3 linked regions of the Callithrix jacchus genome follow. The protein of the gene in region 2 interacts with the protein of the main gene of each other region in a biochemical or structural test. Links are inferred from orthologs where the notes say so. Each region holds a gene or a part of one and is shown on either strand. Other genes may lie near its edges.

The links. The genes of interacting proteins can lie anywhere in the genome.
Region 1: the proteins of PJA1 (region 2) and NSMCE3 form a complex in vitro, tested with the Homo sapiens proteins (2 studies listed by BioGRID). The link is inferred for Callithrix jacchus from reciprocal best matches to the Homo sapiens genes PJA1 and NSMCE3.
Region 3: the proteins of PJA1 (region 2) and melanoma-associated antigen D1 form a complex in vitro, tested with the Homo sapiens proteins (2 studies listed by BioGRID, with this or other methods). The link is inferred for Callithrix jacchus from reciprocal best matches to the Homo sapiens genes PJA1 and MAGED1.

Annotation. Positions count from the first base shown.
Region 1 is NC_133507.1:7,525,972-7,530,498, forward strand, and holds NSMCE3 (non-structural maintenance of chromosomes element 3 homolog), read right to left. Parts: upstream 2,412-4,527; 5' UTR 2,320-2,411; coding exon 1,432-2,319; 3' UTR 785-1,431; downstream 1-784. UniProt on the Homo sapiens protein: Component of the SMC5-SMC6 complex, a complex involved in repair of DNA double-strand breaks by homologous recombination. The complex may promote sister chromatid homologous recombination by recruiting the SMC1-SMC3 cohesin complex to double-strand breaks.
Region 2 is NC_133524.1:66,365,583-66,370,777, forward strand, and holds the start of PJA1 (E3 ubiquitin-protein ligase Praja-1), read right to left. Parts: upstream 3,382-5,195; 5' UTR 3,268-3,381; intron 1,367-3,267; 5' UTR 1,139-1,366; coding exon 1-1,138. UniProt on the Homo sapiens protein: Has E2-dependent E3 ubiquitin-protein ligase activity. Ubiquitinates MAGED1 antigen leading to its subsequent degradation by proteasome. May be involved in protein sorting.
Region 3 is NC_133524.1:52,078,586-52,083,582, forward strand, and holds the start of melanoma-associated antigen D1, read left to right. Parts: upstream 1-1,913; 5' UTR 1,914-1,955; intron 1,956-4,997. UniProt on the Homo sapiens protein: Involved in the apoptotic response after nerve growth factor (NGF) binding in neuronal cells. Inhibits cell cycle progression, and facilitates NGFR-mediated apoptosis. May act as a regulator of the function of DLX family members.

The DNA.
Region 1 (4,527 bases), on a different chromosome or scaffold from region 2:
CTCAGAGATGCTGAACCTCTGCATAAAACAGCATCTGCTCTATGTAGTGGAGGAATACGATGGGGCTATGAACTCTTCCAGTTCATTCAGTCCATAAAACAAACTATTAGATGGCTATTATTTTTCTCATTTTACAGATAAAGAAATTGAGATTCCGCGCTTAAAACCTACCCGCACAATCACCATGCTGACAAGTTAGCATGAGCCATAATTCAAATTCAGTTTGCCAGACAGCTCCAAGACCCATATCCTTTTCCCTATAGCTATTTCCTATACCCTAAGGGGTAGATCTTATATCTCACCCTCGTGCTCCCACTGTTGAATGTGGGTTATACTCACCACACACATTATATTTCCCCATAAAACTATACATATAATAGAGTCAGACTAGAGGAATACACCTTTTGAACCAGTAATTGTTCCCATAGGAATGATTTAGAAAAGGATAATTAAAGTGGCAGCTCCAGATCAAGGAGGAAAAAAAAACCAAATTAACAAATTAAAGAATAAACTGACAAGTAAAATCCTCCACATCAGGGACTAAACCCACTTTACAGGTCAGGAAACATCTGCATACAGCAAGGAACCTACGTAAATTCATGTCAGAGTTATGGTGTAGCCAGGATCTGAACCCAGGCAGTCCGATTTCCAAGCAGGCACGGTTAATGGTTATGCTATTGCTTTAAAAGCTTTTTTGAGAGCCAGAGTGAGAAATACATTTTACCTCATGATCCTGTACACACATACAAAAGTGAAACAACACGATTTTAAAAACACACAATGCTTAACTGTTTCAAAAACACAGCATTTATTATAATAGAGTAGCAAGAAGAAAAAAAACTAAGTGGAACTACATGTTTAGCAACCAAGCTGAATAATTACGAATAAAAATAATTGCTATCTGGAGAAAACATACCATGTTCATTGCTTGGAACCATGAATAATACTTATATATGTATGAAATATAAAAAAAATAAATAGGTTAAGGTAATAAGGATATGGGCAATTATGTTATTTTTAATTTTATAAAACCTTTTATTTTTCCTTACAAACTGGGGTAGTTATGAGACCCAATAATAGCTAGCTTGCTTTTATTTTCTTGGCAGCAAAGCAACTCACTGTGTTTCTTCTTGCATATCTCTTCCAGATCATAGTCAAGTTTTCCAACTCGTTTTACTAAGCTAACAAAATTTTTCATACCAAAAACAGTAAAATCAAAACAAAACAAATCCTCCTTTGTTTATAAATGAAAATCTGGAACCAAATAACACAACGTTAAAGAACAAAACTGTGCAAACACATCCTAAAGCTACACACATTGAAGCGTTACAGAAATATGCTCCCTGGGTTCTCCCTTCCCCCATCCCTCTACAATGTGCCTTTGGGTCTCAGACTCTTGTCCCGAGATTCCCTCTGAATCCACCTCGGATTTCAAGAGGATGGGGCTGGGCCACTCGGCTGAGGTCTGGCCCTGTTCTCCTCATCCGCCAAAGCCTCACAGTACTGTGCTGGCCAGTCCTTGGGGTCTTGGTTATGGACTTTGGCCACAAACTTAAGAACTTTCATCTTGCTGGTTTCCAGGTTGGTTCGTGGGCCCCACTGGAATTCGTAGTCCACGGGGTCGGTGTGAGGTATCCGCCGGTACTCCAGGTAACGCTGTCGCACGAAGTCCTCAGTGATGAGTTTCTTTGGATCTCCGAAAACCAAATGCTTCTTGGTAGGAAAGACCCCTAGCCGCCGCAGAAAGTCCCAGACTTCAGTCTCCTTGATGGTGTTGCCCCTCATAAAGATGAGCCCCAAGACGATCATCAGGAGGCCCGTGGTGGGCGTGCCTTGGTCGCCCCTCACCTCGGCATCCTCCTCCACGGGCTCCAGGGTGTTGATGAGGATGTAAGTGTTGCTCTTGGGTTCAAGTTCCACCAGCTTGTACCCGAAGACGTACTGGAGGCGCTCGGCGGCCAGTTTGAGGAGGTCGGGGAAGATGTCCTTGTAGTCCCCGACGACGTGCTTCAGTATGTCGGCCCGCTTGATCGGAATCTTCTTCTGGTCCTTAATCAGCAAGAACTGCACCAGCTCGGACACTTTCAGCTCCAGCTGCTTCTGGGTCCGGGGCCCCACGGCGGGGGCGGCCAGAGAACCGCGGGCGCCCTGAGGCGAGGAGCTCCGCGCCCCCTGCGAGCCGCCCGACCCGCGGGACGTGCTCGGGGTCTCCTCGGCAACGCAGTCTCTGGGGGCCCGGGCGTCTCCGCCTTGGCTCGAGTCTCTGACCCTCTCGGCGTGGCCGCTAGAGCGGCCCCGGCTCCTCGGCTTTTGCAACATGTTACCGGCGGCGGGCTCCGGCGCAGACTCCAGCCGGCAAACACTCCGGCCCGCAAGCAGCCGCGGCGGGAATGTGGGTCGACGCAACAAGCGGACGCCAGGCCCTGGGCGGGGCCACAGGAGGGGCGCGCGGCGACGGCGGAGGCTGCGCGCTGCGTCACTAAGCCTGCGCCTTGCGTCGCGGCGGCTGGACGGTGCGCCTGCGCGGCTGCCGCGGGTACAAAATCAAATAGCGTTTTTTTTTGTGCAGCCTTTGCTGGTCCGGGCGATGATTTTTAGTAGAGTGAAGTGTTCTTACCAAACCATGCAAGCGGAGGACGAGAACCAAAATCCCTAAACAAGTGTGTGGCTAAATTCAGGACCACACAGGCTCAGGCAAGTTTTACAGACAGTATGATGCGTTTGTAAATCGGGAGCATTTGTCAAGATCTCAAAGATCAATATGTGAGGGGGGGGGAAATAAAAAAGGTGAAGAGGAAGGTACGGCTTTGGAAGTAAAGTAAAAGCATTTATTTCTACACAAAATGTGGGAGGACATAAAAAGCCCCAAGGGTTCTTAGTTTTCGTCCCTCCGCCCAATTTCATACCCTCCAACCTATTACCCCCAGTTACTTTCCCTAATGCCCCGGGGAGTCTGTTAAAAACCAAAGTCTGCGGCAGGCTTTCCTCGCAAGCAGGACTTCGGTTTCACTATTTCCGTATTTATATATTTTGCATTAAACTCTAGCTAGACAACTATGAGAAAACAACACGAAACGTGTCAATATTAAGTAATGTTGTAGTTTGTCAAGTGAGTGTATCTTTTCGAAAAGATAAAACCACTGCTTTGGGCTCACAACCACAATTTTAACAGAAATGGGCAAGAGGAATGCTGCAAACAGAAACGTGCACGCTCAAGAGATTACCATTTAATTGGGGGCATGACTCATCAAAAATTGCAATAATGTGGATCTCTTAAATTTCTTAATTCGTAATATATTAGCTTTAAAGAAAAGAGAACACTAGGGTACCATCCCTCATAATCTGTGATGTGTGCAGTCTCTGTATTTTAATTGTGCAACTCAAGCAGCCAAAATGAGTCATTTCATTAACTGAAACCATCAGCAGTCTGCTGCCAGTACTTCTACAGATCTTAGCAAATGTGTTTCTTCTCTATTTATTGACTTGCAAAGAAGAAACTGAATTTCCCTGTCTTTTTAAAGCTACCCAGAAAGTGGATAAACTCTTCAAAGAACCAAATCAAATTGATTTCCTCTTTAATGCAAATATATTCAAAGGAAAGCAATTTCAAATATATTCAAAGAACACATTATCTGAATAATAGCATCAAACACAACCTTATTAAAATTTTGTTAAATGTTAGTAGCATAACACTTTTGTTTGTGATTCAGTAGGAAAATGCAATCTGATAATGGCACTGGAACTGCAATACTAAATGCAAAATCATATTCCATGAACTAATGCAAGTATGCTAGAATCTGGTATGCAAAGAGTAATAACTTACTGCTCCACACGAGATCCAACTACATCCTCAGGCATCAATCTTAATGACAGAGGCCTACTATGAACAACAAATATATTATCAAGGCATTCATTTTTTTTTTTTTTTTTTTTTTTTACAATGAGAAAATTCATCTGGTTCAGTTTCCGTGCAAATTAAAATTTGGACTTAGGTTCATAAAAGCTTCCTGCCATCTAGAATTTTGAAAAAATTGAGTCAAAAAAGTACAGTGGCCAAGATATAAGGGGGAAGTGGAAAATTAGATAAAAGCTACTGTCCACAGTTGGGCTGGTTTTTCAGTGCTGCTTCTTGCTAAGGTATTCATTCTCTTACATTACCAAGCAGCAGCCAGTCAGGCCCTGTGACTGTGAAAATCAGCAGTGTCCTTCAGCAGCACTCCTACCTAGATAGCAGACTGTCATTACTCCAAATAGTGGAGAAGGGATGTGAGTTTTTAAAGTCTCAAAACGCCTCTCTACGCTCTGTCCAGAGAGGTGAGAAAATGCAGCCATAAAATAACATTAGAATGAAGTTTAGGCACTGCATGGGGAAGTCATCCAGACGGACATTCCACCCTGGATTGATACTGGAAGCCATGGATGTTTGGGGAGAAACTGTGGTGATGGCAATACTAACATTCTTACCAATAAACAGGACTGACAACAGCCAATGATTCTATAGTAGTTCCTGCTCCCTCTCCGTATCTG
Region 2 (5,195 bases):
ACTTCCGACGCAGAGCAGCAATCCACTCCTTGTCACTGTCAGAGTCTTCATCGCAGTATTTGTAGTAATCATCACTGTACGTCCAGAAGTCAGGGTCGGCCATGGTGCGTCGTCGTCTTGGCACCTTTTCTGGTTTCACTTGATCATTCCTGGCTTCCCGCTTGTCCTCAGGGTACTTTGGCTCAGAATAGCCACTTGAACTCTCGCCTCTGCCTCTTCTTGCCAGGCCATCCGAATGGCCTTCGTTGTTGGTGGTGGTATCCCTCCACCTCGAAGTACTGTGTGGCATATCATCATCATCATCAGTATCAAAAAAAATTTTTGGTTTCATGCAGTTTGGACTTGCCAGGTTTCTGATTTTGGGCCTGACCACAGGTTCCTCTGCACTCTTTGGGGTGTTTTCCCCACCACCACAAATACTCACAGGAGCCCTGCTGGGACGTGCAGGTAAATTCTGCTCCCTCCTCTCCCTCTCCAAGCTGTCACCTTTTGTAGCCACCTTGCCTTCGGCAGAAGAAGACTGTGAGGCCACACTACTTTGTGGCAGGAAGTCAGCTCTGCTAGCTGAGCATCTTGCTGCAGGGACTGGGTCTAACTTGTCTTGCTTCTCTTTCACATCACGGCTAAAACTAGAGCACTGTGGAGATGGCCCAGCCAAAGACCTTGCCCCTTTCTCTGGGTCATACAGCTTATCATCTTTAAACTTGCCAGTTTTCCCTCTCACTGGCGGTCGCTCAACAGGCCCAGCCCCCTCCTCCTCACTGTCATCTGCCCCATAAGAGTCAATATGTCCATAGGTCATTCCTCTTCTGCTACCCGAAGCCCTGTACTCTCTTGGTGGATACCTGGAATAGTCCTCATTATCAATATTCAGGGTGGTTCCGGAACTCTCACTGTTGTCCCAACTACGACGAGTTGTGGAAAATGGTGATCGGCTCCTCTTGGTGGTTTGACTGGGGGCTGTTCTGTGCATTGGGACTTTGGAGTTCGTCTTTCTCTGGCTGGCAATCCTTTCCCGCTGGCTTGTGGATGGCCTGAAACTGACATAAGCATGCCTTCTTCCATACCTCCTACCTGTATTGGACTGATACCCTCCTGTTGGTTCGGGCCATACAGGCTTGCTAGATTCCTGACCCATCACTCTGACTTTGGAGGGTTTCCAATACAGCTGGGGCTTGGGTAGGAAGGCTCCTGCTCCCAGCACACGTTTTTGAGATGGGAAAGTAAAATCAGTTTAGAATAAAGGAGCAGGGAGATTTACTTTCACTTCAGCAGGCAGGTAACAGAAAGGATAAGGGGCCTTTAAAATTAGTTTCACTTTCTTCTAAGGCCTGGAGTAGCATTCCAGTGACTGTCAGGTGTAGACCTGGAACACATTTTTAATGTTGGCAAAATGATTACAAAAGTAGGTTTGCAGGAAAGCCAGACTTAGGGGAGAATCTGACGGAAGGTGGGGGGTGATCAGATGCTTGGAAGGTGGGTGAAGTACTGTGAAATTGTGCCAACGTGGGGAGAGGAAAGACTGCTGTGGTTTTTTTTTAATGGGGTGTCTGCGTTTTTCTGAGCACTGCAGACACACAGGAGAAATGCAAATTGGAATAGAGTGGAAAATACAGATCACCATGTGTGCATGAGTGCCTATGTGTCTGTCAAGAGGAGAGGGACAGGTGGAAGGGGACCAGCAATCCTGCAACAGACAGATGTTTATGTTTGTAGGGGAAAAATGTATGAGTGTTAGCATGAGACCCATTCTGGGTGTCGGTATGAAAATGACAGGCATGGGTGGGGTGGCTTTGGAGGAGAGGAATGCATGGATGTATGAAGAAAGGGAAGGTGTTTGTGTGTGTAGCTGTATGTGTGGCAGCTGAAACTACAGAAGGATGCCTGTGTTTATGTGTATGTCATGGGCAGGGGAGCGTATGGTTGGCAATGGAGAGGAGTGTCCGAGAGTTTGTGTGTGTGTGTGTGTGTGTGTGTGTGTGTGTGTGTTAGTCAAAACGGGAGGCAAAAATGGAGAAATGTCAGTGTCAGCAAATGCAGCAGGCACAAATGGAAGCCGGGGCTGGGGGGCAGCACCGGAGAGAGATGTGCTTGAGGTGGATGGAACAGAGGCAGACAATCAAGGAATGATGTCTGCCTCCTGTGTGGATATGGCAAGGAGGGTGGCAGGTGGTGTAAACCCGTAGAAGGGTTTATGTGAGTGTGAGTGTGCGCACCTCGGGGACCAGCAAAGGAGAGCTGTGTCTGACACATGTGACAGAGGGAGCAGGAGAGGAGAGCATTTGAGAAGGGGGTGTGAATGAGCACATGTGGCTGCATATGTATGTCACTGCTCAGCAATAGAAGGATGTCCGTATGTGTGTATATGACAGGCAGTGAGAAGGAGTGCGGCCGGAGGGGGTGTGTGTGCTCAGGCATGTGTTCGTGAGAGCACGCAGAGGCTGAGCAGGGGAGGGGGCCGCTGCTAGAGGTGTGTATGTGGTAGCTGGGTAGAGGAGGGGGAAGGCACGGGAGAGTGTGAGGGTGTGTGCTGCGTGTGCCTGCGCATGCGTGGGGGAGGGGACGCACTGGAACCTTGAGGATGGAGGGGCAAGGAGGGGGCTGCAATGCAAGGCTTCTGTACGCGCGCCCGTGCTCGCGAGACACGGAGGGGTGAGGGACACAATGTCATAATAAGAGGTGGGAAAAGGCTATCAGGTCAAACAGGAGACCCAAACCGATGTGGCAAGGGAGAGGGAAAATGAAAGAAAAGGGCGTGCATGGGTCTACTTCTCCCTGAGAATAATTATTTTTTCTTGACAAATTTTTCCCTGGGGACGGTATTTTTACCTAAAAATCTTAACCATTTACCATTGACAAAACAACAGCAAAATATGGGAAGAAAGGCCACGGAGTACTCCGCAAAGGCGCTGAGGAGGGAAGAAGGAAGGAAAGGGGAGGAGAGGCAGGGAGAAGTGGGAGAGGGCCGCGACCACCACTGCCCTCCCAATAGCAATGAAAGCCACTCGAGTGGGGACCGCGCCACACGCAAGGGGTTCTGGCAGAGGAGGATGCAGCCCCAGAACAGGCCGATGGAGGACACGGGCCTCACTCTGCAGTCAGGTCCCGCGTCCACCCCACCCCTTCCCGAGGGGCGAACCTGAAAAGCAGTTCCCAGGAACCCCCCAAAATCCTCGCCCCTATGCCTGGCCACTAGCCCCAAGCCCGGCCACTCGCGCCACCGCCAGCTCACCGACGAATCAAGGAAACAATCAGCCTTTCACTCACCAAGTCCAGAAAGCCACACGCTCTTCAGAGGAGCAGAGCTCTCAGACCTCCGACCACCACGACCGCCAGAGCCGCTGCTCCCGGTGTTGAGCTCCTCCCCCGCCAGACAGCAACGGGGCGGGCAGCTACTGCGGCGGCGGAAGTGATTCTGAAGTCAGCTGGAGCCCGCCCCCTTAATGTGGCGGGGGCGGCAGCTGCTCTCCACAAATCAGTGTGGGCCCGAAAGCATTATTTCATCTTAAATGATGAAATCGTCAAGGATACAGAAAAGGACAGCGAAAAATGTCATCATCACCCAGTTTTAACAAATGTTAAACATTTAGCTTAATTCCCTTCTGGGTTTTTTAATAAAATGAAATTTGCAGATTCTTTCTGATTAAGTCCAATGTGAGAGTAATTACGTTACTACATCACATCCTACGTTATGTATTATGGTTGTACTGAAAGTATTAAAACTGTGAAACTATATTTAGGGTTGCAGTAGACTTAAAATTTTTTTAACCTGATGGTTGAAGCAAATTGAAGCTGTTTAGTGTTGAATTTTTTGCTGCTCATCACAAAACCAAGCTTCTCTTTCAAAGAGATCATAAGACACAACACAGGTTCATATTCTGGTATTGCACTGCAGTTTAAAAATATTACAGTTATGCCTTTTGGATTTACACAATTTTACTGAATTCTAAAGTCTTTAAATTGCACTTTATAATGAAACTCTAGTATTTCTGGTATTTACAGCCAATGTAAACACTTCATATGTTCACAACAGTAGCAAAGTTTTGTTCTTACTGGAAATAAAATGCGTAATAGAGCAAAAACTTTAGGGGTAACAACATAATAGAAATACAATGTATAACTTTCAAACCATGAAAGTAATAATATGTGGAACAAAGAGAAAAACTCAATCTTAACAAAGGGCAAGAAACATTGCTGGGGGGGATGCAAAAAGAATACAAAAATGCAGAAATAAACCTGAATAGATCAGCATCATTATGGGTTAACATCTCCTAATAAAAGTCAAACTCTTATTTTGAGCATTTTGTTTTTAAAAGTCCAGTTATATACTATTCTTGTGAGTTAAAGTTCTAAAGCAGAAATAGGAATGAAAAATATATGACAGCAAAATACTAGCAGAAAAGTAGGAAGGGAGGGAGGGAAGACGGGAAGGAAAGAAGCAAAAATAGGAAAAGAAAGAAAAAAGAGACTCATAACAATATCAATATCCTAAAAATCAAGAACTCAAAAAGGACTAAAGAGAACAAAACAGGTTGTTTTATTCACTGAGAAAGATATGACAAGCTGGCAGTGTGTGTCTGTAGTCCCAATTACTTAGGAGGCAGAGGCAGGAGGATTCTGGGAATCCAGGAGGTAAAGGCTGAAGTGAGTGGAGATCGCACCACTACACTGCAGCCTGGACAACCAAGCAAGATGCTGTCTCAAGAAAAACTAATAATAATTATAGAATTTCATTAGTGAGAAATATGGAACTATCAAATTTTTTTTCTCTTTTTTTTATTGCATTTTAGGTTTTGGGGTACATGTACAGAACATGCAAGATAGTTGCATAGGTACACATGTGGCAGTGTGTTTGCTGTCTTCCTCCCCCTCACCCACATCTGGCATTCCTCCCCATGCCATCCCTCCCCAGCTTCCCCCCCCACTGTCCCTCCCCTATTCCCCCCAATAGACCCCAGTGTGTAGTGCTCCCCTCCCTGTGTTCATGTGTTCTCATTGTTCATCACCCACATATGAGTGAGAATATGCGGTATTTCATTTTCTGTTCTTGTGTCGGTTTGCTGAGAATGATGCTCTCCAGATTCATCCATGTCCCTAGAAAGGACACGAACTCATCATTTTTGATGGCTGCATAATATTCCATGATGTATATGTGCCACCTTTTTCCAGTCCAGTCTATCATCTATGGGCATTTG
Region 3 (4,997 bases), about 14 Mb from region 2:
GGCTCTGTTCAAACTGATGTCCTATCCTTCTTAGTGCTTCAAGCTAGATCTTGTTTGGACATGTTATAACAAATTAGTGAGCATTTATTTTGGTGCAAAAAATTTTTGAAATCCAAGCATAGTTTTTTTTATAATATGTATTTCCATGAACATTTTGAAGACTCCTCATATATAAAGCAAAAATTCAGAGACTGAAAGAAGAAATAGACAAATTCACAAATATAATTAGGTACATCAACACTCCTCTCAGTAATTAATATAATATTTTACACAGCAAATAAGAATACAGAATAACTGAAGAACACTATCAGTTATCTCTAGTTGATATTTATAGTGCTAGTGCATTTCACTCAACAACAGTGGAATGTATATACACATTCTTTTCAAGTGTACATGGAACATTCACCAAATTGACCAAATCTTAAGTCATAAGACAAAATTTAACAAATGTAAGAACTGAAATAATATACTGTAAGTTTGCTGATCATAAAAATCCAACAGTGGAAAAATAACAGGAAATTAAACATGCATTTCTAAAGAACCCATGGGTCAAAGAGGAAGTACAGGCTGGACACAATGGCTCATGTCTGTAATCCCAGGAGTTCAAGAGCAGCCTAGGTAAGGAAGCAAGACCCCATCTCTACAAAAAATAAAAAGGATTAGCTAGGCATAGTGGTATGCTTCTGTAGTCTAGCTACTCAGAAGGCTGAGGCAGGAGGAGCACTTGAGCTTAGGAATTTGAGGTTACAGTGAATTATTATCATGCCAATGCACTCCAGCCTGGACAACAGAGTGAAACCCTGTCTTACTAAAGAAAAAAAAAAAGGAACTACAAAGATAAAATCAATATATAAAAATATCAAAATACAAAATATGAAGATTGATGGGATTCAGCTAAAGCACTGTTTAGTGGGAAATGTGATTCAAATTGTTGAAATAAATTGTAAAAATGCCAACAAAACTAAGGACCTTATTGCTAGTTTCCTTCTTTGCTCTGACCACATTTTGGTCATTTATTAATTTAACAAATATTGATAAACACATATTTTATGCTAGGCTCTTAAGTGTTTAAATGTCATTTTAGCTCTAGGCTGTGGGCTTCTAGTGTAGTGTCTCTGGGTGTAGCATAGTATTTGGGACATAGTAGGTGCTCAGTATATACTTGTGGATTGACTAAAAATAACCACAAAAAGAGATCCTCCCCTTTGGTGAGAACTGTGGTCTAGATTTGGGGGCCAGGAGAACTTTCTGGAGGTAGTGTCAATAAATAATTCAATGTTAAACTTGTTCTGAAGGTATTTAACCAGAGTAGAGTTTTTAAAAAATTATTGAAACATTTTTTTCAGTTTTCATTTTCTTCCTTTTCTTGGGGAGTATGTAAAATAATGCAAGAATGCTTTCTACAGGAGTCCAGCTTTATTCTTTGGACATTTGAGTATGGTATGTAACTCTGGATACGATTTCAAAGCAAAAGTTGTTTAGACTTAAGATGTTTTGAAAAGGTTGACACATACCGCTAATACAAATGGAATTTTTTCAAAGTGGTGTGCCAGAAACAGTAAATCAGTTTGGTAAATATGTCACTGTAGACATCCAAGACAGAGAAAAATGAGGCCTAAGTTAAGGGACTAAGATGAAGGGAGATATTTCTAAGGCGAATCAATGAGAGGTGGCAAATTGCACCTGATGGATTTGGCAGAGATACTGCAGCTCCTGGCGTGACTAGAACTAGGATTTGTAAAAAGTTCGTGATTCTCTCAGCCCGTTTACAGCACAATGTAGGTGTTGATCTAGTGAGGGAGTCAATGAGATAGAGCATTGCAGAGCTTGCTAGAGAGGCACAGGAAGTCGCCTGAAGTGAAGGAGGGGGTGGCTGCTGCAGAAGCTAAAGCTTCCGCCAAACAAAAGAGGACAGCACTTCCGGTCACGCCATCGTCGCTGCCTTCTCCGTCAAGGTGAGTGTAAAGAAGGGGTCTTGGTAATTCTCACATATAAATACCGATACACTCCAGGGAGACCTCCTTTTGTGCCTCAACATGGGGTGGAAAGGAGAATTCATCCCCGCGTACGTTGTAGGAAGGATGCTTCTGACGCATGTGATTCTGATAGCTTCACTGTCTCCTCCCTTCTCCTCCGGAGATGGGAGGTCCCATCCGACTCCCCTTCCCGATTCTTGTGGTCCTTTTTATCTACCTGACTCTCGGTCATGCTTCACCTCTCTTCTTTATCCCAGATCCTCTTCTCCGGTCTGGAGGCAGGGTCATTCCCTCAATCACATTCCCTCTACCACAGGTCACTCCTATCTCCTACCTCTTACCTCCGCCTTCTGCCCCGCATCCTTTTAGCCTGCGACTCTTTGCAAGCCCCTTCCTAAACCCTGTTTTACTCCCGCTGCTGGCCTTTGGTCTTTCCCGTTCCCCTCCTCCAGAGACCAGTGAATTACGTACTTTGCAAAAGTAGGTGTGACTTCAAGGTCAAGGCTTTTTTTTTTTTTTTTTTTTTCTTTTTTGGTTCTTTTAAAGTAGAAGGAAAGAAGCAGAAACCTTAGAGCCCTAAGAGACATAGGCACTTGTTCGAATTATGTTCTTTTATTTTTTTAACTCTAAACAAAATTACACATCATTTAGATACTATTGCACAGATTTCTGTCTTCTCGTTGCATCTGTTTTTTATGTTGCCATAGGATTGAATCCCCAAATTTTTTTGGGGGGGGCGGCAAACGTAGTGGATTATACCTATAACCAGGTGTCAGAGCTTCAGAGAGCGTAAACTTTCCCATCCCCTGTAAAAGTTAGTGGAGAAATGGTTGACAGGCGTGGTATCCAGCCACAAATTTATTACTTTATATGAGTTGAGTTTATTATGCAAATTATTTTCTGGTCTCTGATAGCAGCATTAAGCACCAAGCTGACATTTTTTGAGACAAAGACTTTTTCTCAGAGCTTTGCAAGTATTACATAATCTATTTGTTGCAATATGAAATTACTTTTCTGTTACATTTGTTACCATGTCAAATTTATCTTGTGAGAACATCAGTTATTAAATAATAATCACAGTTTATTATTGCCTTTACTCAAATGATCATTAAATTTATGGTGAGAATCAGAGTTTTTCAGGCTCTATCAGAATCTAAAGAGGAATTTAACCAAAGTTTTCTTTGAACAAGCAGTTTACTCCCTCCTGTGTGTTATGCTTGCCAAAATAAGGGGTGATCCTCTTTTCTAGGCCATGGATAGTTTTTATTTAAGAATAAACAGGCCAGGCGCGGTGGCTCAAGCCTGTAATCCCAGCACTTTGGGAGGCCGAGGCGGGTGGATCACGAGGTCAAGAGATCGAGACCATCTTGGTCAACATGGTGAAACCCCGTCTCTACTAAAATTACAAAAAATTAGCTGGGCACGGTGGTGCATGCCTGTAATCCCAGCTGCTCGGGAGGCTGAGGCAGGAGAATTGCCTGAACCCAGGAGGCGGAGATTGCGGTGAGCCGAGATCGCGCCATTGCACTCCAGCCTGGGTAAAAAGAGCGAAACTTCGTCTCAAAAAAAAAAAAAAAAAAAAAAAGAATAAACAGGCTGGGCGCGGTGGCTCACGTGTGTAATCTCAGCACTTTGGGAGGCCAAGGCGGGCAGATCACCTGAGGTCGGGAGTTCCAGACCAGTCTGACCAACATGGAGAAACCTGTCTCTACTAAAAATACAAAATTAGCATGCCTGTAGTCCCAGCTACTCGGGAGGCTGAAGCAAGAGAATCGCTTGAACCCAGGGGCGGAGGTTGCAGTGAACCGAGATTGCGCCATTGCACTCCAGCCTGGGCAACAAGAGCGAAACTCCATCTCAGAAAAAAAAAAAAAAAAAAGAATACACAATGAGGCAGAGCTTTTGTGACACCAAAACCCTTAGGAACATTTCCAAAGAGTATTGCTGATGTCTGTTTATTCAAATCATTATTACGTATCATTTAAATATTATCACATTCGTTTCAGCCCACTGTGCATCTCCTCACCTGTTTTTTTCCCCACATCCCAGATATGTCATCACACAGGTAAATAACTCACTATGTATCTCTAATTTATAGGTGCATTAAGTAACCACCACATCATTATTTTACTTAGTAAGATAAATAATTTCTTCTTTTTTTTTTTTCTGTTGTTTTGTGATGAGTCTTGCTCTGTTACACAGGCTGGAGTGCAATGGTGTGATCTTGGCTCCCTGCAACCTCTGCCTCCTGGCAAGTGATTCTCCTGCCTCAACCTCCCAAGTATCTGGGATTACAGGAGCCTGCCATCATGCTTGGCTAATTTTTGTAGTTTTAGTAAAGATGGGGTTTCATTCACCATGTTGGTCAGGTTGGTCTCGAACTCTGGACCACAGGTGATCCACCCACCTTGGCCTCCCAAAGTGCTGGGATTTACTGGTGTGAGCCACTGCACCTAGTCAATAATAATTTTTTATATCATCTAATACTCAGTCTATATTCAAATTTCCATGATTGTCTTTTCTTTTTTTTTTTTTTTTTTTTTTTAATTGAGACCGGGTTTAGCTCTGTTGCCTAGGTTGGAGTACAGACATATGATCAAAGCTCACTGCAGCCTCGATCTCCTGGGCTCAAGTGATCCTTGTGCCTCAGCCTCCTGAGTAGCTGGGACTACAGGTACATGCCACCACACCCACCACACCCAGCTAAAATTTTCTTTTTTGAGACAGAGTTTTGCTCTTGTTACCCAGACTGGAGTGCAATGGTGCCATCTCAGCTCACTGCAACCTCCAACTCCTGGGTTCAAGCGATTCTCTTGCCTCAGCCTCCTGAGTAGCTGGGGTTACAGGCATGCACCACCACGCCTGGCTAATTTTGTATTTTTGGTAGAGACAGGGTTTCACCATGTTGGTCAGGCTGGTCTCTAACTCATGACCTCTGGTGATCTGCCCACCTTGGCCTCCCAAAATGCTGGGATTACACGGGTGAACCACCATGCCCAGCCTAAATTTTTTTTTTTTTTT